Linked DNA regions of Neodiprion lecontei. The protein of the gene in region 1 purifies or fractionates together with the protein of each later gene. This does not show direct contact. Links are inferred from orthologs where the notes say so. Each region holds a gene or a part of one and is shown in the gene's direction. Other genes may lie near its edges.

Region 1 (6,673 bases):
CGTAACCTAACACGTGCAAACTCACCAACGTTGCCGAATATTGGAGAAGTTACTCGGATGTCTCTGCCCAGCTCTGGAAAGAAACAAATAAGAAAACTCGAATTAATTCAAGCAGACTGGATTTTCGGTTCTGAAATTATTTATATTTTTGTTGTCTACTTCCATATATATTCACTGCATGTTAAACAGGGACAGAAATTCGGTTCCAAACATACCACATTTAATTATTAAGCAATTATTAAGATAAGTTAATCCTTACCTCCTCTGGGTTGCTCCTCACTTTACTGCATGTAGGAGTTCTCGTAGTTGAATCGTCAAGCGACGCACTTTTGACACTGCAATCAAAATGTAACCGATTATTACTCACACAATAAAGCTAAATCATATTTCGTATCACTAAATACTGTCTGTTAAAACAATTTTGTTTTCCACGATTATATTTCGGTGGTTTGTGATTTGATAATAACTGAACTGCAGAAACGAATGATAATAGAAGGTTAATCAAATTTTTACATGGTAATAAAGGATTACAGTATCGTCGGACTCCAGGAAAACAATCGGATAAAGATGGAATCGGTGACTCGTAATGGGTAAAAATACTCACCGATAAACACGAGCCGCCGCGCTACACATTGTAGCAGTATTTCCATTCGCTAAAGTTCCGAATTTTAGTTTTTTATGCACAAAAAACAACGGCAGTACGACCTACGCACTAATAAACGCGTTACAATTACATTTTATAAACGTAAAAGGTTGACGTTACTAACGTTATCGTAACGAAACATTGGGAAAAAATCACTTTTTTCTTATTTTTATAATGAGTTTGAAGGAAGTGAGATTGCAAAATGTTGGTATTTTTTATTTCATTACGGTTCACTGAATTTCAAGCACTTCCAAAATCTCAGAATAACGGAATTTCCGCACCACGAATGCTTACCGGTAACGTTACTAACTTCAACATGATACGCGATCCGCGATCCGAAATCCGAGAAACGATCTCGACAGCCACGTTTCGCAACGTCCGTTTTATCAGAACATGGGAAAAATTACCGCAACGGGAGATTATCGTAGCCTTGTCTCGTCAGAAAACGCTTGTGACTTGTCAAAAGTCTGCACGAAAGCACTCTCAATCTGTCCAATAACGTATCTAGAAAACTTTGGAAAGTTATATAAATCACGAATCCACCCCGTAACAACACTTGATCATTCTCACTTTCTGTACTGTAGTACGTATGTTCGTTGGTTGCCTCAACCGACAGGATAAACTCGGTAACAATACAAAACTACGCATTTACCGGTCATCAGCAAACAAACAAAAAAAAATGACGATCGCTAGAAGCTGAAGTTGCACAAAACAATGGAAAGTCGATACACAAAGCGCACCACGCACAAAACTCACGTACAATGTTCATAGGCTGTTTTCATTCAATTAACTCATTTTTTCTTCGAGCCAGACGCTGCCATTCGTGTATTATTCACAAATAAGTTTGGTGGGAACACACTGACCAAATAACATGATCAAGTTTGCCTGAACGGCGTGATTTAAATTCCGAACTGATCGCGCGCGTGGTTTCACTCCGGCTGCTCGGATACGACTGGCACCGATTGGCACAGAGCGATCGGATTTTAAGAGAATTTTCGTATCACACGGAGTCAGACGTAAACTTGGATTTGATGACGACTTTCGACCGAACAGAATATGTGTGAAAATACATTTATAATGAGGAGAAGAAATCGCAAAACATTCTCTTTTCTGAATGTACGAACATAAGATTTAAACTAATTCTAAAATAATGGGCGCTTTGCTTCTGCGTTAATTTTTTAACACAAAACGATACCAAGTGATTTCATTGGCCTATTCTATTAAATCCGATCGATGATATCACTTATTGTCGATCTGTGTCAGGAAATTGATGTAAAAGAAAAGGCCCCCTTTGTTATTGGTAAAGCAAAACAACAAATATGTATGTATACAATTGTTAACGGAAGAATTTAACCCTTGGAAAATTTTCGTGACGATTACTCGGTAGGTAAGTGGTCTTGCCGCCGTACGAAGCCGTGTCAGCGATCCGGTAACTTCTTCATCGGCCGCTCGCGAACAATGCTCACGAGAGACTCCCAGAGTGCCAGCATGTAATACAAGTTCGAGTCGCCATCTATGATCGAGTGTGGATAATTAGTACTAGCTATTTGGTAAATAACCAAGGAATTCAGCGCTGCAGCCAACAAAGAAGTCCGAGTCCACGTAGCCGCGATACGGTGCATAGTTATTTGCGATTTGTTATGTTGGTAAAATTCCGTACATCGACTTCCTGTGCATGGCGAACACCCGAGCAGCGTTGTCCGCGGCTGCGAGTAGTCCAAGAGTGTTGTCGAGTGGGTGTTAAACGTTCGCAGAGCCGTATTGAATCCGTTCAATGTTAAATCGTGAGTTATAGGTAATTAGTTTATCGAGGATACAGTGTGAACCGATAATGATTAACATGGAAACAGACAAAGTAATCGAGGACCCGAACACGTATAGTCAGGTGCGTATCAACCGACCCGTATTTTCCTCCCGAAACAAACGGCCATCTTATGTTTCTTAACCGCGGAGGGAATAGGAAACCGAAACCTGCCTCCCCCTCACTATTTTCACACCATTTTACACAGCGTTTCGCTATATTTAACCTAACTATTTTTTCCCCCGCGTTAACCGCTCGTCCTATCAAATAATCAGTTCCGGAGGTTATGAGACGTCGCTCCGATTCAACGGGATGCATCATCGTCAATTTCCCTCAGCTATCGTGCATACAAGACGTGCACACAAACACACAGTCACACACACACACACACACACACTTGGTCATTTCTATCCCCACATAGGACGCATAAACCAATATCAGTACTAATCCAAGCGGAGTGGACTCGTTAAAAATACAGAACAAACCGACCAAAGTAACGAAGAAAAGAACATTCTTAAAGGCATATTTTATTTTTCTTGCCGTGAATGAAAATATGTTCAAAATAATATTTGAGGTACCAATTCGTAAACTTAGATACCCTATTTTCCGAAATATCACTATTTGACGTTTCTTCCGTGAATATCAAAATTGGTTAATCAAATAACACGAAAAAAAATAATAACAATGTTTTTCATGTTGTACAGAAGAATATGGCAATGATAATAATTAATCTATTCTTTCGACGACCCGCGCAAATTATTACGTACTTTAGGAGATAATTAATTAGTTGTTGATATTACTTTTCACTTTCTTTGTAGGACGAATATTTTCATCAACAATTCATTCTGAACTACATCCGACGAAATACCGTTACGATTTAAATATTTTTCTCTCAACAAGTCGAAAATCATCGTAATAAAGTACCACAAGAAAAATAATAAATGTTTTCGCCATTTTCCTTCCGTACAGATTATTTCCGATTCAAGCGTAAGTCAAAAACAAAGAATCAACGACCTTTGTTGATTACTGCATAGAAAATGAATTTAATCGTCAGTAAACCTCTGCAATATTCTAAAAACAAAGAAACACATTCATCAGTAATTTCCGTCCAGTTATTTTTCTTCACAAACTCTACAAAAGTCACAAAGGTTTCAATCCGTGAGAATGTCGCATTTCGGAAGTACCTCGAACAAGTAACTGTACAAATTCAGCGTTCAATGGGGGAGGTGAGCACCAGCGATGAGAAAGCACAGGGGTCAAAGGGCGCGGGGTCTCCGCATAACACGAAACTGTGTATCGTTTGGCCCCCGTGTCGGTTAGGCGTATATTTATACATATGTACGTAATACGCTACATAGACGTATGTACAAACACAATGTATTACGGTCTCCTCGACGCGTCACCGTTATACCGTACAGTTTACATGTCTCTTATACCTGTGTGCGTATTCGCTTTCTCTCCCTTTCCCTCCTTTTCCCTCCGCTTCTTGAAACAAAGGAAAAGAAGAGGAAGAGGAAGAACGAGGTTCTCCGTCCCGTTTCGTTTCGTTGCCAACGTTGCGCTGGCTTGCTCCGAGAAGAGGGTCAAAGGTGAATACGCAACCGGGGCGAAAAATCCCCTCCCCCATCCCTTCTGTGCCGTTGATCGAATCCACCCCCTCTTTCTTCCTTTCTCCTGCAAAGCGTCGCCACAGCCCCCGAGAGCGGGTTACTACATAATCAATGTTTTAGTCCCCCCCCTTTCACGACCCAACCCGAGCCACCCTCTCGGCAGTCAGTCAGTTCCACTGTTTGTCGGTGTATGTACGTCATGCCGTGCCACGGCCCTCACACCCTTGCAAGTACGTGTGTATGATATGCGTACACAGGGGCGTAAGTAGGCCAGAAATTCGACACCCGATCCGTCGAGCGAACCCTGATCAACGTACGTGATATAACAATGAGAGTCTCAATATCAAAATAACAAAGGTAAAATCGCGGTGGAGTTTAAGAGATTTTTGATTGAATCGACGGTCGTTTCATTTCTATCTGGCTGAAGTTTGTAAAGTTATTGCAATGTTGTGTCTTTAGAAAAAGTCGTTATTTTGCAACTTTAGGATGACTTGATATTTAAGCAACTGTTGATAAAGCATGAACGAACTCTGATTTTGTAAATTCAACTTCTCCAGTTATTCTTAAGGTGCAAAATGGTAATTTTTGTTTCAATCTTCCGATACGGTAACGTTGCTAACCGCAGCGACGTTTATCTTTCTTCAATTTTTTTTATCGCATCGCAAAGGGATGCCGGGTGTGTTTCAATCAAGTTCAAATCGATTGAATTCAGAAAGCATTGCCCTGGTTGCTAAAGCCGGCACGATTACTCTCACCTTAGGATGTGTATTATGTACGGTACGTGTCAAAGTGTTGCAGGTACAATTACTTGATTAATTAATTCATTAATTTCCCTCCTACGTCGTAAAGCCTGTGTTCGCATAATACGTATGTGTATTACGCCACGCGGGTGTATAATTTGTACAACGTGTAATTAATTCTTCGTCACGTTAGACGGCCAGTGCCGCGAAATTTGTTCCACGAAACAGAATCAGGTCTGCTTTGCGTTGGCGGGCTACAGAGTTCGTAGTTTTCCCTGTTGATTAATTATGGACCTTCCTTAACATATATATATTGTTTTGTTTGAAAATTTTCCGCAGGCCTTGACAAGCTTCTGTCTTCCGTGTACTTGACTTGCTTTAATTAACGTGGATCGATAACTAGAAGATCGAAAACAAAGATTACAGTAAGAATAGGAAAAAGAAAAAGAATATTATACGGACGATTCTTACCGCAGCCACGAAATCCAACCTAATCGTTATGTAGCATTAGTTGCAGCAGTCACGGATAGGTATAGCCGATTAATTTCGTTCCAGCAAATGAGAGAGAGTCGATTCCGATTCATGTTTTCGACCAACCGCAGCACAAAACTCGATTTTCTCAATCTAGGCTCGGTTTTGATCGGGCATTGACAAATACGATCCGTACTTACGAAATAATAATCACTAAGAAAAAAATAAAAGAATGACGAAGCTTTGTACGACAAAAGATAATTAAAACCAAAGTATAACGAAACAGTGACCAAACTTCGTATACAAAAGAGCGTATGTACATATTGTACATATAATGAGATTGAGAATTCGGCTCACGCGTAAATCCTATCACTTTGTGTTACGATCCGGTATACACGTTGCTCAGGAACAGTATACCTAGAAACTTTTGACGAACTCTCAAGGTTGCGATTGAATCGCGGTACCTACACCCGAAAGCGACGGATTATTAAGCCCGGAGATGGTCAAGCGAAGGACACGTAAGGTGGTGCTGACTGCTCACCTATTCATCCCGGTGGTTCTTTTTTTTTTTCACCTTTTTACCATACATGTACAACTCTGATTGGTGAAGGTCCTGCGGAAATTTTTTTCTTTTTATTTTTTCTTTTTTTTTCTTATCCATACACTGGGTTACGTAGGTATAAACCCGTCCTTTCATGGTTGCGAATTACGCGCTTCAGGGACACGACGCATCGAAAATAATGATTGTGTACAAAATATTGATACGTGAATATGTAGGTACGGAGGAAGCCTTGAACTCACACATCCGCATCACGGGTCTTTGGTTACTTCCGATTTCCGGTTAAGTACGCGAGGTTATTGAACAACGCGTGTAAAAGAAGCTTGAACCTGCATGTATCGAAATTCGGATCTCTCTGATCTTGCTCCGGTATTTAGAGAGAATTGATACCAGATTGAAGTTTAGTACCTAACGTTGATGTAGGGAATTATCGAAACTGAAACGATTGTTTTGAAAATTTAGCACGGATTTGAAGAAGCTTAATTTACAAAATCTGAATACACTGCTTTTTAAAAATATACTACTCAATGTTGAGACGATCCTACATTTGCGAAATAATGTTTCCTGAAAATAAGTCGTTGTATTAACGATACGAACTTCACTCTCTTGTATTGTTCAAGTCCGAAGAAGTGTTAAATTCACTCGTATGGTGCATTCACACAAAATTTCAGCCGTAATTATCGGTCGGTAGTCACTGTTTGCCTGTCGTCGATTTTTTCCTTTCACGGAACGCAATTGCGCTGGTATATAACTTCATTATTATTATAGTTATTGCGTAAGCGAGTACATCGCCCCGTTTTTTGCCAATCTAATAGATTACAACGATCGATGTTCTCGATATAATGATAA
Region 2 (9,642 bases), on another chromosome or scaffold:
CTTGGCCTCAGTCTGATCAGCTGATCGAGACATCTCTTCACAGTAACTCTGTTGCATGAAAATACTAGAACTGCAATCACGGGTTCCTCATTTGTCAGTGATTTTTCTGGTGCAACATGCTGAGCTTCGTCTACCTGCTGAATAGTGAATATAAAGTCGTTTGAAAACTAGGAAATGAAGGGTGAAGAGGGGAAACAGCTATATTTCATCGCTCGTTGAAAATGATATAGCGATACCATTATTATTGCATTAAAGAGTACTTTCCGAAAATACCACTGTTGGATGAGAAATTCAGTATTACACCTCGAAAAACCTGCCAGTAGAATCGATACCGAATGTACTCTTACGGAAAAGGAAACATTCATTTCCATTTTTCTTGATATCAGAATGAGTGGACTATAGCAGTTTTTCCCCTGGACCCTTCAAATGTCTTACGACAAAAAACTCACTATTTTCAAATCCTCTTCGGCGGCTTCTAGTTTGTCTCGTTCGGCGTTTTGCGCCTCTTCTGCATTCTTCACGACAGTAGACTCCGCGTTTTCTGCTTCGTCTGAAAATCACGAACGTCAATAAATCGATGGAGCTTCAATTGACCGTAATAATTCCAATTCAAAATGAGGCTTACTCTGATCCTGTAATTTACCACGAAGATGTTGAATGAGTTTTTTATTCTCCGCAAATTGCTCTTTCACTCTTTCTTCGATATCACGAATTTTCGCTGCGATGTTGCCCTGTAATTTTGGAGTTGGGAATAATTTTTAGTCATCAATATCAGGGGTGTATTTCCAGAGTTTCATTATCAATTCGTGCACGGAATCAACACTTGATATTCACCTTATTTTGTTCTTTGCCGATTGGACGATCAAGAAATAGAAAGTAAGTTATGACACCCCATACGCAGAGAGATGCGAATATGAAGCTGATTGATTTTTTCCGCATGGCACCACCGAACGTCACCTCATCTGCGAATGTATTTCATTAACACATTATATATGTATATGTATAATTTGTGATGATGGATGTATCACTGTCGAGATATCAAAAGGTTATCAATTCTGTGATTAACTGTGACAAAAAAATCGAATGGAGGATAATGTGAATGTTAAATATTTCCGTGTTCATAGAGCATTATCATTCATTATCAGACTACATTCGGTTTGTGATGTTTATTCCCATTCAGTGATAAGAACTTATCCAATGCAGATACTCATCTCAAGCTTGTGAAATTATGACATAAAATATCATTCCTCCGGAAATTGTTAGGCTCGATTAAAATTTTGTTACGATCGATTTCACGTTTAGCAAATTCGCACACAATATCAGGTAAAAAATGCTCTCTGTCAAAAAGAATTTTTTAACTGTGTCCGGACAATTGTTATTGCTTATTACCTTTGGTGTTTACGTTTCAGATGTTTTTTCTTTTCAAATTTTTCTATCGGAGTAGCAGAAATTAAGGGACGAGTGACTTTCCAAAACTTTGAGGAAAATTCGTAATAGCGAAACCACGTCTACAGATACGTTATCCGAGAACAGCTCTTTGACGGCTTAGTGCCACGTTTATCTTCTCGACAAATGATTATTATTTGTACAAGTGCTAGGTAAACTAACCAATACATAGACTGGAATTAAGTCAAGATATATTTACCGTATTTCTGTATTCAGCTGACATTAATCGGCATTTAATACTGTCACAATATAAGCCAGTAATAATTATCCTAATAACGATTAATCTTCACATTATTTATCCCGTTTTTGTTCAGACACGACTGGTGAAGTACGTAACGCGTGTCGACGACAGCAGGCTGCAGCTTTGCTTAGCGCAATGTCAGGTTCTGTCATTACAGCATGTTGTCATTCGATGCTATGATTGCTCTCTCCTTTTCGCTTTGACTTCATTAGCCTCACTGACAAGCTCGAAGCTATCCAAAATACTTATTCGATTTTTTCCTCCCCAATTCTCGGCGAGAGATTAAGTTTGCTCAGTTTTTTTACCAGTAGTTTATTTTTCTTTCTCCTGCCTCCCGCCCCGCACCAACGCGACCGTGAATGATCAGTTTGTGTGGATGTTTATTTGCCCTTGTATGTGCATAATAAATGATTCGTTACTTGGTCACTGGACATTGAGAAGCGGATTATTCAGCATGAATGCAATGAGGGGAGAAATTGCCGACGGCAATTACTGATACAGGGTCTGTGAGTGCATATATGGTGCATATGGTGCGTTTAAGTTTAGAGAAGTGTGTTAGCCTATGCATGCATAACACACAAGCAGAGGTTCAGCGCATGCACAAGTATCGAACACCGAGTTACGACTTTTGATTATCTACGACCAGGCTGAAGTTATCGAGAGAGCTCAGCTCAGTCGGCCAAGAAGAGTGACTCATAATTCGAGAACTTTCCGCATGCGCTGCGTTCGACCTTGTTAGACAACATGGTGGAACGGATCACGCGATGACGTAGGTGAATGCAAATGAACATTTAGGCGAATATTCTTCCGAGTTAACGTAGTTGAGAACAGGTCGAAACCGCTGTGCTACAAATTGTCCGTTTGCGTTTTTATCCTGAGGTTTCGCGTTTATTTATAATGACGGTATGCAGTTCGCAGCCGATACAAAGAAAATTGAGTAATTATATAAGATCGATTGAAAATTTTGCGCCATCATTATCGTCATTATAATTGGGTAGCCACCAGAGTCGCGCAAGTTCGGCGTCTTGAACGATAAATACTGAATACAGAACACATAATAATTAGTGGGTAAAAGTGAATAACTGGAAGTCGAACGCGCGTCGAATAGTCCGATGACCGCAGTCACCCTCGATCGAAAACAACGAACGGCCAGCTCAACGCCAGCCGAGGATATCCCAAGCTCTCTGTCCCAAGGATAATCTAGTGATCTCAGATTCTCTGTAGCGAGCCGAGAGTCTTGAAGTTGGCTGCAGTGTGACTTAACCTGTCAGAAAACGGAGAAAAGCACGGAGCACACTCAGTATCATAACCGACTTGTTAACCCACACGTACTGCGTATTCGTTCAGACAGATATTCAATCCTCTTTCGTGTATACATATATAGTGGTTCAAATTCTCGTCCGTGCTTTCCAACCAGACGCACCAAATCCACGATATTTCGCTTTTCAACGCAAGGCTCACATATTGTTATGCGGTGGTGACTTAGCGCCAGGTGAGTAAACCTTCCTTGTCTCCGAGATAAGATTTCTAGTTTGAGAAAGAGAGGAAGAAAAAAAAATGTTGTTTCCTTCGTTTCAAATGGCATTGAGGAGAGACAATGGGACCTTTCGCGTAGGTTCTTACGTTTCGTTCTATCGACCGAATCCACTTCTTGCTTTGTATTTTTCGCAAAAATTTTACCAAGCGTAGTATCAATTTCTTAGTTCTTTTTGTTTTCTTCTTCACTTCTCGCATTATTCTTTCACCGTTTCTTTCTATCGCATAATCGGGTTACCCCAGTTACCATTTGCTCGCTAACGGAATTAACCCCCTTCTGTCACCATTGCTCTGCATTTTATGTTCGGATTCACATTTCCGTTAACGAGTTAATCCGCGTTTCGGTCACACTACAGTATCTTCTGGTAAATATTAGCAGAACCGTTGATTGGTCTGATAGTCTTCGAATTTTGGATTCCAATCTAAACATATAACTAGGCTTTTATTTGCTACACACAGCCGATTTGGAGCTGTAACATTTTTAAAAACGATTCTCAAACCTCTAAGACGTATATTTCAACAAAAATATTAACGAATGAATTACATGACAAGAAAGAACCCTCAAACAAAGAAGATTGTTTGAGATATTAAGATTGGCACAACAAAACTCTTCTCCCACATTTCACACGTCAATCGTATCTATGTATGCGCATCTTATCTGCGGATAACCAGTCCCTCGTTCATCTGGAATCTATTGTATTTATTTGAAACAGCGTGTTCAGAAATCTAGATAAGCCCTCTGCGGCTGGAATACATAATTTTACCACAAATAATAGCACCAACATAACATCTTTCTTTGTATTGCCGTGCGATTTTTATCTCCATCAAATTATTAGTATCGCCAGTCACAGTTGAGTATTACAAAAGAACGTGTGGCATTTCTTATTTCATTTCCAGAGTTATTCAAGTAGCAGGTAATTAGAGTGAGGCTGGTCAGACATTAATTTGGGAATAAAATGTCTGGACACAGAAGTACCGGTGGCACCGGAAGCCATCCTACTGGTCCTCAGGGTCTCAAGCAAATAGATCTCGACCAGATTTGGGGCGACCTGAGAGAAGGCATCGAGCAGGTTTACAACCGGCAATGCATGCCCAAGCCAAGATACATGGAGCTCTATACGTATCCTTAGATATCAACAATTGACTTGAAAGACATATTTCAAAATGTTTTTGACACTCAGCTTGTGATACCTAAAAAAGAATCTATCAAAAATTTTACATAATGTATTTTATGCTTAACTGTAAAACTGATGTGAAAAAACACAGACACGTGTATAACTATTGCACGAGTGTACATCAGCAGTTGAACAACAGGACGTCGATGAAAAGTAAGAAGGGTCAAATATCGGGCGGCGCTCAGTTAGTTGGGCTGGAATTGTACAAACGTTTGCGAGACTTTCTGCGGAATTATCTCATCAGTTTACTGAAGGTGCGAGACGCCGATTAGTTATCCTTATCCAGTTTTCTCTTGCTCTATTCTTGCGATATTCAATGCCTGATTTCAATCCTCGTTTAGCATGGAGTCGACCTGATGGATGAGGATGTGCTGAAGTTTTACACTCGACAATGGGACGAGTATCAATTCAGCAGCAAAGTCCTGAACGGGGTCTGTGCGTATTTAAACCGTCACTGGGTGAGGCGAGAGTGCGAGGAAGGTCGAAAAGGAATTTGTGAGATCTATCAGCTGGCGTTGGTCACATGGAGGGATAATTTATTCAAACATTTGAACAAGCAGGTAAAACAAATGAGGTGAATCAGCGTATTTTCGATGTCAAATTACCCACTTTTCTCCACTACTTATCAGGTAACCAACGCGGTGCTCAAACTTATAGAACGAGAGAGAAACGGTGAGACTATAAACACAAGTCTTGTCAGCGGAGTGATTAATTGCTATGTTGAGCTGGGTCTAAATGAGGAGGATCCGGGCGCCAAAGGGCAGAATTTGTCCGTCTACAAGGACTCGTTTGAGAATGTTTTTCTTGATGACACTGAACGCTTTTATACACGCGAAAGCACTGAATTCCTACGACATAATCCTGTCACAGAGTATATGAAGAAGGTGTTTGACGAACATATAGCGAAACTAACGCCAAGAAGAAGGAGTGGGATGTTCATACAAATATTTTCGTTTTTCACAGGCTGAGCAGAGGCTCCTGGAGGAAGAGAAAAGAGTCAGGGTGTATTTGCACCAGACGACACATGAGCGTCTAGCAAAAACCTGCGAAAAGGTCCTCATCGAGAAACATTTGGACATATTTCATGCAGAATTCCAAAATCTTTTGGACGCTGATAAAAATGTCGATTTGGGTCGAATGTACATGCTTGTCGCCAGGATACCGAATGGTCTTGGGGAGCTTCGCAATCTTCTCGAAAGTCACATAGCTAGTCAGGGATTAGCTGCTATCGACAAGTGCGGCGACTTTGCGGTTAACGTATGTAAATTTACCGATCAAACTTTAATAACTGCACGAAATTAGCCATCAAGTTTCGGGTCTTTCGATAGGAAAATGTTTGATGAACGAGTGTTGCTATTTGTCTCTTTCTTAGAAGCGACTTACGATTACCTGGATTTATATTGCAAGAAAGAAAAAGAAAACAAATATTGAGAGAATCATGAAACTGAGCTTATTAATCATTACTATGTACGGTTATGGAAATTATTTTTCAGAACTTTATACTTACCATGTTGTTAGTGCAGGATCCTAAAATATATGTGAGCACTATCTTGGAAGTTCACAAGAAGTATAATGCGCTGGTATTGGTTGCGTTTAATAATGATAGTGGATTTGTCGCTGCTCTGGACAAAGCTTGCGGACGGTTCATTAACAGCAACTCTATTACACGAGCTGCTAATAGCAGTAGCAAATCGCCAGAACTCTTGGCCAAGTACTGCGACCTTTTACTCAAGAAGAGCAGTAAGAATCCGGAAGAGGCAGAGCTCGAAGATACACTTAATCAAGTTGTAAGTTTTATCTAACTAATAGCAAAGTGTAACATCATCTAACTCGCGATCTTATCATCAAATGAAACAGCGAGGTTAAAATAATGTTCTTTCTTCGTGTAGATGGTAGTTTTCAAATATATCGAAGACAAAGATGTATTCCAAAAATTCTACAGTAAAATGCTTGCCAAACGGCTCGTGCAGCACATGTCTGCCAGCGACGACGCTGAAGCGTCAATGATTTCAAAGCTGAAACAAGCTTGCGGATTCGAATACACTTCTAAACTACAGCGCATGTTCCAGGTATCTATACGTAATCACGTTGACAGATTATATTCCACTTTTTACTATTTTACCTTGTTTTATTGAAAATTTATCGTCCTGTAGGATATCGGAGTGTCGAAAGACTTGAACGAACAATTTCGAAGGCATTTGATAAATTCTACGGAACTTCTGGACATCGATTTTAGTATACAGGTGCTGTCGTCCGGTTCCTGGCCGTTCCAGCAATCTTTTACATTTTCTCTACCCACAGAGGTACTAGTTCTTTTTGCATACTTAGGTAATAATGTACGTGTCCCGAACAATCTATGCAACGCATTTGGTTTTGTTTCGCAGCTGGAAAGATCTGTGCACAGGTTTACCACTTTCTATAGTTCTCAGCACAGTGGGAGAAAATTGAATTGGTTGTACAACATGTCCAAAGGGGAATTGCACACAAACTGTTTTAAGAACAGGTGAAAATTTATTGTTAATCTCTTGCATCGCTGGCTTTGTTTTTTCTTTTTCTTTTTTATAATAATTCTCAATCTCTGCTAATTTCGTTTTTTATTTACAGGTATACTCTGCAAGCTTCGACCTTCCAAATGGCGGTTCTATTGCAGTATAATGTGGCTACACTTTGGACCATGCAACAACTTCATGACGCAACGCAAATCAAAATGGATTTTCTTGTGCAGGTCCTTAACGTCATAGATTTTTTTAAATAAATTTCCTGACTTATCGTGCTTTGCTCCATCTTTTTAATTGCTTTATTTCTTATTTGTAACACAGGTTATACAGATTTTGTTGAAAGCGAAGCTTTTAACTGTCCCTGCACACGAAGATGAAACTAATTTAACTCCATCGTCAACCATCGAACTATTTGCAGCATATAAAAAGTGAGTGAATACATTTCTCCTTCACCTTATTGTCCAGAATTCGTAAATCTCGTACTTTTTCACATGTAAAACTTGAAGGCTTAGAACTCATTATTGACCAACTATCGAATAATTTTAATTGCAGCAAAAAATTAAGGGTAAATATCAACATACCAATGAAGACGGAATTGAAGGTTGAACAGGAAACGACCCACAAGCACATAGAAGAAGATCGCAAGCTGTTAATTCAAGCCGCGATTGTAAGAATTATGAAAATGCGTAAGATCCTAAAGCACCAGCAACTCGTCGCCGAAGTACTAAACCAGCTCAGTGCGAGATTCAAACCGAGGGTGCACGTTATTAAGGTGAGGGTTAAGTTGATTTCAAGGATTTGTAAATTTTCAATATACAATCTTCTTTGACGGATGTACACAGCTTATCATCTTCTCGCTCATTTCTTTGATTTCTCTCATTCGCAGAAATGTATAGACATTTTAATAGAAAAGGAATATCTAGAACGTACGGAAGGACAAAAGGATACGTACAGTTACCTGGCATGATCTGCCTAAGTGAGACAACAAAGTAGCAGCTGTTTAAAACAGGAGAAACAACTTCTGCCGTACGCATCTGTCATTGTTGCTGCTGCTGTTGTATCTACGTTACAATATTTATTATTTACGTCGCACACAAAGTTCTTGTATACAACATAAGCCCCCTCCCCTCCTTTCGGCCCTGTATGAAATAATTGTCCGACCGATCGCATTTAGCAAAAATGAAGAAAAAGAAGGAAGAGAGAAAAAAAGAAAGAAACATGGATTTTATAAAATATTATTAATAAATTTCTTTCATAGTTCAAATTTATTCGGTTATAAACGTAATTTGCAACTAATGACAGCCGGAGAACAAACCTTGTGGTTTAAAATTAAATGAACAATTTAAGTACCAATTATCGATTTGTATTGTTTATGGAAGAAGGAGCAAATGCAATTTTGCTTCTACGTTAAATTTTATGATTGTTTGCTCGTGTCGTAATCTTCGAGACACGCGTGATTTTTTTTCCTATGTATTCAGTATTTTTTTATATTTTATTAGATGCGTACACCTGTTAAATTAACTAGCTGAACAGACTCGAAACGCATCTTCTATCTATAGATAATTTTGATAAATACTTGCATCATATCGGGCACCTGTTTTTTTTCTCGTTTTGTTATCAAACAATCCTTGGTAATTTACGAACAACGTTTTTTATCACTGTTGTTGTAAATTGATTGTAAGCTCGCTGTGCGTTACCGGTTTTCTTTTTTTTTTTTTTTTTTTTTTTTTTCCCACCAAAAGGTAAACATGTGAACTTCTTTGGTTTGAGAAAACTTCATGGATCATATTCAAGATGAAGGATTACAGATATTTTCTTGGCATAATTGTAATTATTTTTTTTTCTGATTTTTATTCTACTTTGTTCTTGATTGATCGATAATTACGTAATGTTAATAAAATATTTTATTGTAGTGTATTCGAATTTTAATAGCCACAAATCCTCCTGTTGTTATTGTGATTTTTTTTTTTCTAATCTTCTAGGGTTGCGCAAAGAAATTTATCTTTATTTTGCGATGGTTTTTCTTTCGTTTCATTATGATCATCGTGTAATGCTTAAGGACCGTAATAAGATTTTTGTGAGGAAGTTGTTGGATTGTAATCGAATTTCGCCTGTTCTGGGGAAATGGAAAGTATTGCAAAATCCAAATGGAAGTCATGCGAGATACGATTTAGAGACGTTTTATCAGATTCTAAACAAGACGGCGATGAAACAGAAAGAGAGAAGAAAGAAAGAAATGTCCTTAGCAAATAAATAAATAAGTACGCACTGATGTTTTATCGTAATTTGCAACCATAATTAAACGATACGCGGTAGTTAGATTCAATTTTTAGGATGATATGTAAGTAGGTAACATAGCAGGTACAATTTGGGTCGTCAATGAAATAATATTTGATTTGATCTAGTTAAATTAGTAAGGATATTCTCAATTGTTTAACCATACTTGAACGTGAGATAACTGAAAATTGAGGAATGTAAAAATGAATGGTGTGTACACAGCACTAAGTCCATGGGATTAGTTAATACTGCGATGCGCCGTATTATTTAAACTGACAAAACACAGGGGTAAAGAAAACAATAGAATTCTACGTACAAAATATATTTTATTTTATTGAAAAGCTGAAAAATTATATTTGGAATATGTGGCTAAAAGTCGGGAGGCATAAGATGTAAGATGAAAAACGAGGGTAAGAAGTATAAAAAAAGCATTGAATATTTTAATAATCGATGACAGCAATTTAGAAGG
Region 3 (6,658 bases), on another chromosome or scaffold:
TTGCTACGAAATGGTATCTCTGGTTAAGAGGGGTCAAAAGCCTCTGTTTCCGGATTTTCAAATTATTCTTTCAGAAATCTTTTTACAATCAATAGTGTATTCTATTTTCGATCAAATTTCATGACGCATCTACAGCAGTTACGATAAATCAGAGAGAATCTGGATTTTTTTAATCAAAAACACTGATGTAACTACGGTAATTCGGAAAAATATTCCGGCCAGCAAAAATTGTGCTGATACCACAAGAAAAACTTGGTTGCTTCTGTCATGACAAAGTTTCGTAAAACACGAAACTGTTGTCGGAATTCTCCATCATGCAGGTGCGTATCCAAACAAAATTCTTGCATCATTGTTATTGTTCACTGTGTTTATTTTTCATCACCTCGTATGATGGTGATATAAGAAAACGATTAAACATTAAGCTGAGGAACGAGAAGATCATTATTTTCACGAAGAAACGGAAGTTTAATGACAAGAGGATTCGATATGTATATGTGGTTTAGTTGCACCCTATAACATCACCGAAGGTGAAGTCGTGTAGGAAATAAAGGGCATAGCCGGATAAGCAGGTCGAATCGGCCCCCGCTGAATTTTTTGTCGGTACTTCAGGGATCAATTTGGACCCAAATGAAAATAATTCAGTGAAAATTTCAGCTATTAATCTTAAACGGTTTCCGAGTAATTGAAAAAAAACCTATTTTTTAGTATTTATTTTTTTTTTAATAGTAAAATTAAAAATTTTTTTTTGCTGATTTTTTTTTAAATACTTACGAGTAAAAGCTGTGAAAAAATTTTTTTTTCTGATTTCTAGACTAATAGCCGATTTTTAAACTAAAAAACAAAATTACAATTATTTTTTTTTATGCCTATTTTAAAACATGCAATCACCAAATTTGGACAGAATACGTCTTTTATACCCCTCTGTACTCAGGAATTTTAAAAATTTTTTTGGTTTGGTGCAACGTCATGAAAAAAATTAAAAACCAATTTTTTGTTAATTATTTTATATTTCAACTGCTTAGAACACTACTTACAACTAATTATAAAATGTATTTATTCATAAAAATATTCATCAAAAACGTAAGTGGTCATCAAAATATTTGTTAATATTTTCGTCAATCTTCATCACTGTCTTCATTAATAACTACACAGCGCCCGGTATTATTGAAAATGCGACGAAAAAATTAAAAAAATTCCTGAGTACAGAGGGGTATAAAAGACGTATTCTGTCCAAATTTGGTGATTGCATGTTTTAAAATAGGCATAAAAAAAAATAATTGTAATTTTGTTTTTTAGTTTAAAAATCGGCTATTAGTCTAGAAATCAGAAAAAAAATTTTTTCACAGCTTTTACTCGTAAGTATTTAAAAAAAAATCAGCAAAAAAAAATTTTTAATTTTACTATTAAAAAAAAAATTTAAGATTAATAGCTGAAATTTTCACTGAATTATTTTCATTTGGGTCCAAATTGATCCCTGAAGTACCGATAAAAAATTCAGCGGGGGCCGATTCGACCTGCTTATCCGGCTATGCCCTTTTTATTTAAAAGTATGGGATTTATTAGCTACTAAACCAAATAAAACAAACCATATGCTTGATGGTATTTAACGTGTGTACTTGATTGTACAGTTTGTCAATTAGTCTTGTCGCACCCTTCGTACAAGTTTTTGGGTAATTTCAAGTTTCAAATATCACGCTGAAAACATTCGACTCATCTCTTGTTAGACTCGAATAATGAATAACAATTAATTCAACATTTTGTGACACGGATTTATTTTCGTTGATTTCAATTTCTGGGACGCAGAGTCCGACTAAATTAACAGATAAACTGTTACTTACCTAATCGAATAGTACCTAGTACCCAGTACCTGATCGAATTGTTGCCTCGTGAAAAAAAAAAAAAAATTAATGAAAAACACTGTTTTTATCACAGGAGTGTCCGAATAGTGGTCAAAGAGATGACAATCGAATCCAAATATTCGAACAACTAGAATAATAGTTCAAATTATTCGGTAGTTTGACAATTTAGTGCCCTTAGGTACGGCTTATTGTTAGTGCCATTTCACACTATACTCGACAATAGCTAGCAGGAGTAGGTCAATCGCTATTCTTCCATCATTAGTTAAGGTACCCAGTACGAAATGAAAATCGAATGATTCAAATTGACCTAAATAATTCGAAAAATTCGAATCGCACGTAGAATTCAAAATATTCGATCAATGATTTTGACTTGTTCGCTTACTCCTAGTTTCCACCGCTTGTTAATTTTTTTTTTTCCCTCAATATCGTGTAGCACGATACCGTGGTTCCTCTCGATGCGAAGAGAATGCCTAACAGGTATGCATGGGAGAATGAAATTAGTTGGCGGATCGGTCGCGCGGCGGCGCTGACGAAGGGGGCGCTTGACCGCCGAGGTTAGGTTAGTTAGGCGCGCACCTCGCGGCGACTGGCGAGCCCGAACCTGGAGGAATCGGCGTGTGCCGAATGCCAACAGTCACCCGCCGACTGCCGGTACCGCTGGTCGGTTTTTGTCGCAAGTCAGTTCAGAGCAGCGATCTCTGTGCACGCTTGCGGCGTCTTTGCACTTGGCATTCGTCAGCGAGCCGCTAAACGGGGTTGGTGATAAACTGGTGCTCGAGGTGGTGCAGTGAGAATGGTGAATGCGTATCCCAGAATGTGAACAATTATTTCGGCGGCAAATTATAGTCGCGGAAGCGTGTTCTGCCCGTAAGTGCATCGGAAGTCGAGTGAGTGCCCGCGATTCTACGAGCACAGTCGATAAGATAGATAGATAGATAGATAGATACTCGAGATAGACGTCGTTTACGAGTTTCTCTCACTTTTTCTATCTTTCTATCTCTCTCTCTTTCTCTATCCCCCTCTCTCTCTCTCTTTCCTTCTCTCTCTCTCTCTTTCTCTCTCTCTCTCTCGCTCTCTTTCTTTCTCGTTTCCCGCGGTGTGCTGTGTGTACGTAAGAAACGCACGAGTGTTGAGTTTACCGCCGCGATCATCTGTCGCGCGCGTACCGACCGGTACGCGTATGCACGATTATTGTTGTGTACAGTTGGATTACTCAAAACCGATGGCATTTGGGATGCCGCCTCTGGCTGGATGAACGTCTCGGCCCCCGGCGGAGAGGTGAGTTTGTCAATTAGTCAGTCAGTCAGTCAGTCAGTCGGATATTGGTTCGCCGGTCGCTCACGTGTTAATTTCCAAATCGAAAATACTTGTTATTCTTCTCCCTCCACGCGGCGGTTGCAGCATAGGCCGCGTGCGCTTCAGAGTCTTTCTCCTTTCCGAGAGAATCCCGGCAGCTCAACGCACCGCGTCAGCATTACGCCGTTTAGTTGGATTATCAGATTCCACCGACTCGTATCGGAGTCGCCTTGACGGCGGCTCGCTCAACGATCATTCGACTAGATTGTCTGAATCAAAAGTTGGGAAGAGAAAAAGAACAGTTTGAAAAATCACCGGCAGTCTTATTTTTCGCCAATACCTGAAAGTGGGCACGAAAAGGTTTCAAAATAATTGAATTATGGTGTTTTTTTTTTTTTTTTCAAATCCCTTTCCAATATTTTTTGACTCTGAAGACTTTTTTCATAAATTTCACATTGTATCATAGTCATAACGACAAAATATTATTGTTTTCGAATACATATCTGTTATACCGTGCTGATAATTCAATTTTAACCACTTTGGAGGTAACTATTTGTAAAATTTCATCCAAGCGAGCTCTGAAGATGAATAAAATAAACTTAAAAACATAAGAATCATATTGATAAATCCTTTTCTCCAATTGATGGTATCTTGGCTTGCGCTATTCATGTGTTCAGATTCATTTCCCTCATATAGTAGGGATGTCGTATCGTTTTTGTTCTCTGTCATCCGTGCAAATAACGTTCCTGAAGATTCTTCGGATGACTTTATCTCTTTTTCCTACAACTGTTCATTCACCTTCAATGTCTAAAGATAAAGATAAAGAATAAAGATCGATGGAGACTGCGAGTTATGAGTATTTATTTTGAAGTAGGCGAAATGGCGCGGAGGTAATAACAGTGTCCTACACCTACCGACTCGTTTACAGGATGAAAATGTTGATCGAGTCGGTAATGGTAGGAAGCTTCTGTACCGAAGCTCGCCACTCGTCGTTCGACAAGCTGCAGCGAGCTTTAAATGTCTGACTTTAACAATCTGTCTTATACAAATTGTTGGATGGTAAAAATAAATTCTATTCAACCGTGTTCCGTTCAAGCGTAATACCCAAGTGTAGTATCGCCTTAATAATAAATACGCACAATCCTCTGTCTTTTCACGTCGAGCTTCGACATTGTCATTCGGAATCAGTACAATAGGTACTTGCAGCGTACGACACTGAATCATGAATGGTGTTCGTGATAATAATCGTCGAGCAAGAAGCATGCACGCTTTCAGATGTCGTTACATTTAATTAAAATCATTTATTCACCTTCGCGTAACGTGAACTGTGACGAGGCGTGAAAGGTCGATGTAACTTCTCTCCTTGCCCTCCTCCTCCTCCTTCTTCACAGCTGCGGAACTAAACGAAAACCATTTCATCATACACGTGATTGTCCTGATAACTTTTGCCTCATCTTGCTTAGATCTTGTTATGCGTGACATTAGATCAAACATGATTCTGTGGTACGGTTATATGTATTTGAAAATTTAGGATCCTTACGGAAAATTTGTCAACTTTTCGTTCGGAATAAATGTTTTTATTGGGAAGGCCTCAAAAGCGATTTTATCCTGTTAAATATTTCTTCACGCGTTAACCTTGCGTGGTTCAATTTCATGTGTTATTTTTACTGGTATATAAATCGTGTTCAGAAACATTTCCAATACTGCGGAGTAAAATTGCATAATCATTTTAATTATTTACATATTCCACGGAATTCCTAAACGGATTCTTTTACTAAATGCTCACTGTCCTAGATCGTGTTCTGAGAATTATTTGTACGTATATTTACTCGCATAGCCGACCTGCTTGCGTGTTTCGTCCTTCTTTGTCTCTCGCAAAGATATACGACCATGCAGTTTCGTGACAGTAATTGTTTGAAGCGAAAATTAGACCAGCTGCTTAATTCTGTTGGTTTCTTTTTTTGTTGTTTGTTACGTATTAGCAATTAAGAGTCTGAAAGTTCAGGGAGAAGAGAACCGCTTAAAAAATGTTCAGTAATGTTATTTGCGCCACTGATAATGATGACGAATGAAACAACAACCCTCTTATGCAATAGAAATGAATATAAGCGAATTCGAACAATGAGACTGAAGTTAGCAACGTTAATGTAACGGAACATCCGGGAAAAAGTCATTATTGCGGAATTTTAGAACGAGTCTCAAGGAGTCGGCTTTTCAAAATAAGTGTTATGTTTATCGTAGTTTACTAAATTCAAGACATTCCTGAAGGCGCGAACTAACGAGTTTTCCTGTTGTTGATTCGATTCTAGCGTTTTCGGACTCATTTCACTGGAAGACATCACGAATTGTCTGAAATTTTTTGGACAAATATTGCATTGTAACATGTTGTACGGGTAAATGTAATAGTTGACAAACATCTGTCGGAATATACAGTTTGTACAAATTTATTTTCATCCAGTTTGGAGATAAGTATTTTGTTTTTTGATTTTAGGTGATTTTTGGACATCGCTATGATTGAAAAATTTAGCCCGGAACTATTAAAATCGGATAAAAAATACCAGAGTTGAATCAGTTTGAACGTTAACGTTATGAAACCTTTTCTCAAACAGCTAATTTTGCTTTGCTATATTGGAAATTGCTCGGATTCATTAATATTGTTGGATATTTTTTTTTTACGCTTACCAACTTTTGATTCACTGAGTCCAGCTCGTTGATTGTTTGCTGTTTTGTGATCCTGCAAAGTTTTGCTACTATATTTTTCGATTGTGGTAAAAAATGAAAATAGTTTAGGACTGAGCGGTAAACGGAACTAAAAATTTCTCTCGGTACAGTTGGTTCTGAATTTGGGATGCAACCTTCATACATGTATAATCCGCGTAACTTAGTCCCTGTGATTAAACGTAATATGGTGATATCCCAGGTATAACAGTACAGAAATGCCTGATTGTAGGCGCAGAACGGTTTCGCGGTCTTAGCTTCGGAGTCAAGTCTGAGTTGAATATTAATGGACGGAGTTAGGCTTTTATTTGGTCCTCGAGTGAAGAGGTATGCGGTAAGCATTTGTATGGTTACGATACTTTACAAACCTTTTTCGCACAGTTGCGGAGCGTCTCCAAGTGTGTTGGAAATTGTATAATAAGTCATTGCGTATCTGTACAACATATCCGGCATTTCATAATAATTTGTCCAACGTTTGGTTCTATGTATCCAGGATATTTCTTTTACGTCGCGGTGCCGTTGGCTACAAAATGTACTCGTGTTTTTTTTCAGAATTTTTTTTTTTTGGTTACTGCTTACTTCTAATTTTTTTCAAGGAACAAATTTTGTACCCACTTTTGTAATTTGACATAAAATCTCGAATATTCTGTGGGGAAACAACATGGTAAGTAATTATTTTCAGATGTTTTTTGAAATACACATGTTTCTTACTCTATTTGTCGAACCGATATCGAGAGATTTCATCCGATATCAAAAAAAATTACTATAAAAGATCAGACGGTTTT

What was found.
Region 2: the proteins of beta-TrCP (region 1) and cullin-1 purify together in Drosophila melanogaster (affinity purification with western blotting; 4 studies listed by BioGRID, with this or other methods). This does not show direct contact. The link is inferred for Neodiprion lecontei from reciprocal best matches to the Drosophila melanogaster genes slmb and Cul1.
Region 3: the proteins of beta-TrCP (region 1) and protein expanded-like purify together in Drosophila melanogaster (affinity purification with western blotting; 4 studies listed by BioGRID, with this or other methods). This does not show direct contact. The link is inferred for Neodiprion lecontei from reciprocal best matches to the Drosophila melanogaster genes slmb and ex.

What each region holds. Positions count from the first base shown.
Region 1 is NC_060265.1:30,824,455-30,831,127, forward strand, and holds the start of beta-TrCP, read left to right. Parts: upstream 1-2,307; 5' UTR 2,308-2,474; coding exon 2,475-2,528; intron 2,529-6,673. Other genes in the region: acylpyruvase FAHD1, mitochondrial, read right to left, coding at 260-335, 605-633.
Region 2 is NC_060263.1:15,794,460-15,804,101, reverse strand, and holds cullin-1, read left to right. Parts: upstream 1-2,492; 5' UTR 2,493-3,179; intron 3,180-3,340; exon of another isoform or gene 3,341-3,588; intron 3,589-4,120; 5' UTR 4,121-4,179; coding exon 4,180-4,343; intron 4,344-4,489; coding exon 4,490-4,652; intron 4,653-4,739; coding exon 4,740-4,958; intron 4,959-5,027; coding exon 5,028-5,282; intron 5,283-5,361; coding exon 5,362-5,655; intron 5,656-5,891; coding exon 5,892-6,185; intron 6,186-6,287; coding exon 6,288-6,467; intron 6,468-6,551; coding exon 6,552-6,701; intron 6,702-6,782; coding exon 6,783-6,901; intron 6,902-7,002; coding exon 7,003-7,123; intron 7,124-7,217; coding exon 7,218-7,324; intron 7,325-7,448; coding exon 7,449-7,668; intron 7,669-7,782; coding exon 7,783-7,863; 3' UTR 7,864-8,164; downstream 8,165-9,642. Other genes in the region: alpha-1,3-mannosyl-glycoprotein 2-beta-N-acetylglucosaminyltransferase, read right to left, coding at 1-137, 450-550, 626-731, 835-939. UniProt on the Drosophila melanogaster protein: Core component of multiple SCF (SKP1-CUL1-F-box protein) E3 ubiquitin-protein ligase complexes which mediate the ubiquitination of proteins involved in cell cycle progression, signal transduction and transcription.
Region 3 is NC_060262.1:19,124,032-19,130,689, forward strand, and holds the start of protein expanded-like, read left to right. Parts: upstream 1-2,508; 5' UTR 2,509-3,110; coding exon of another isoform or gene 3,111-3,137; intron 3,138-6,658. UniProt on the Drosophila melanogaster protein: Activates the Hippo/SWH (Sav/Wts/Hpo) signaling pathway, a signaling pathway that plays a pivotal role in organ size control and tumor suppression by restricting proliferation and promoting apoptosis.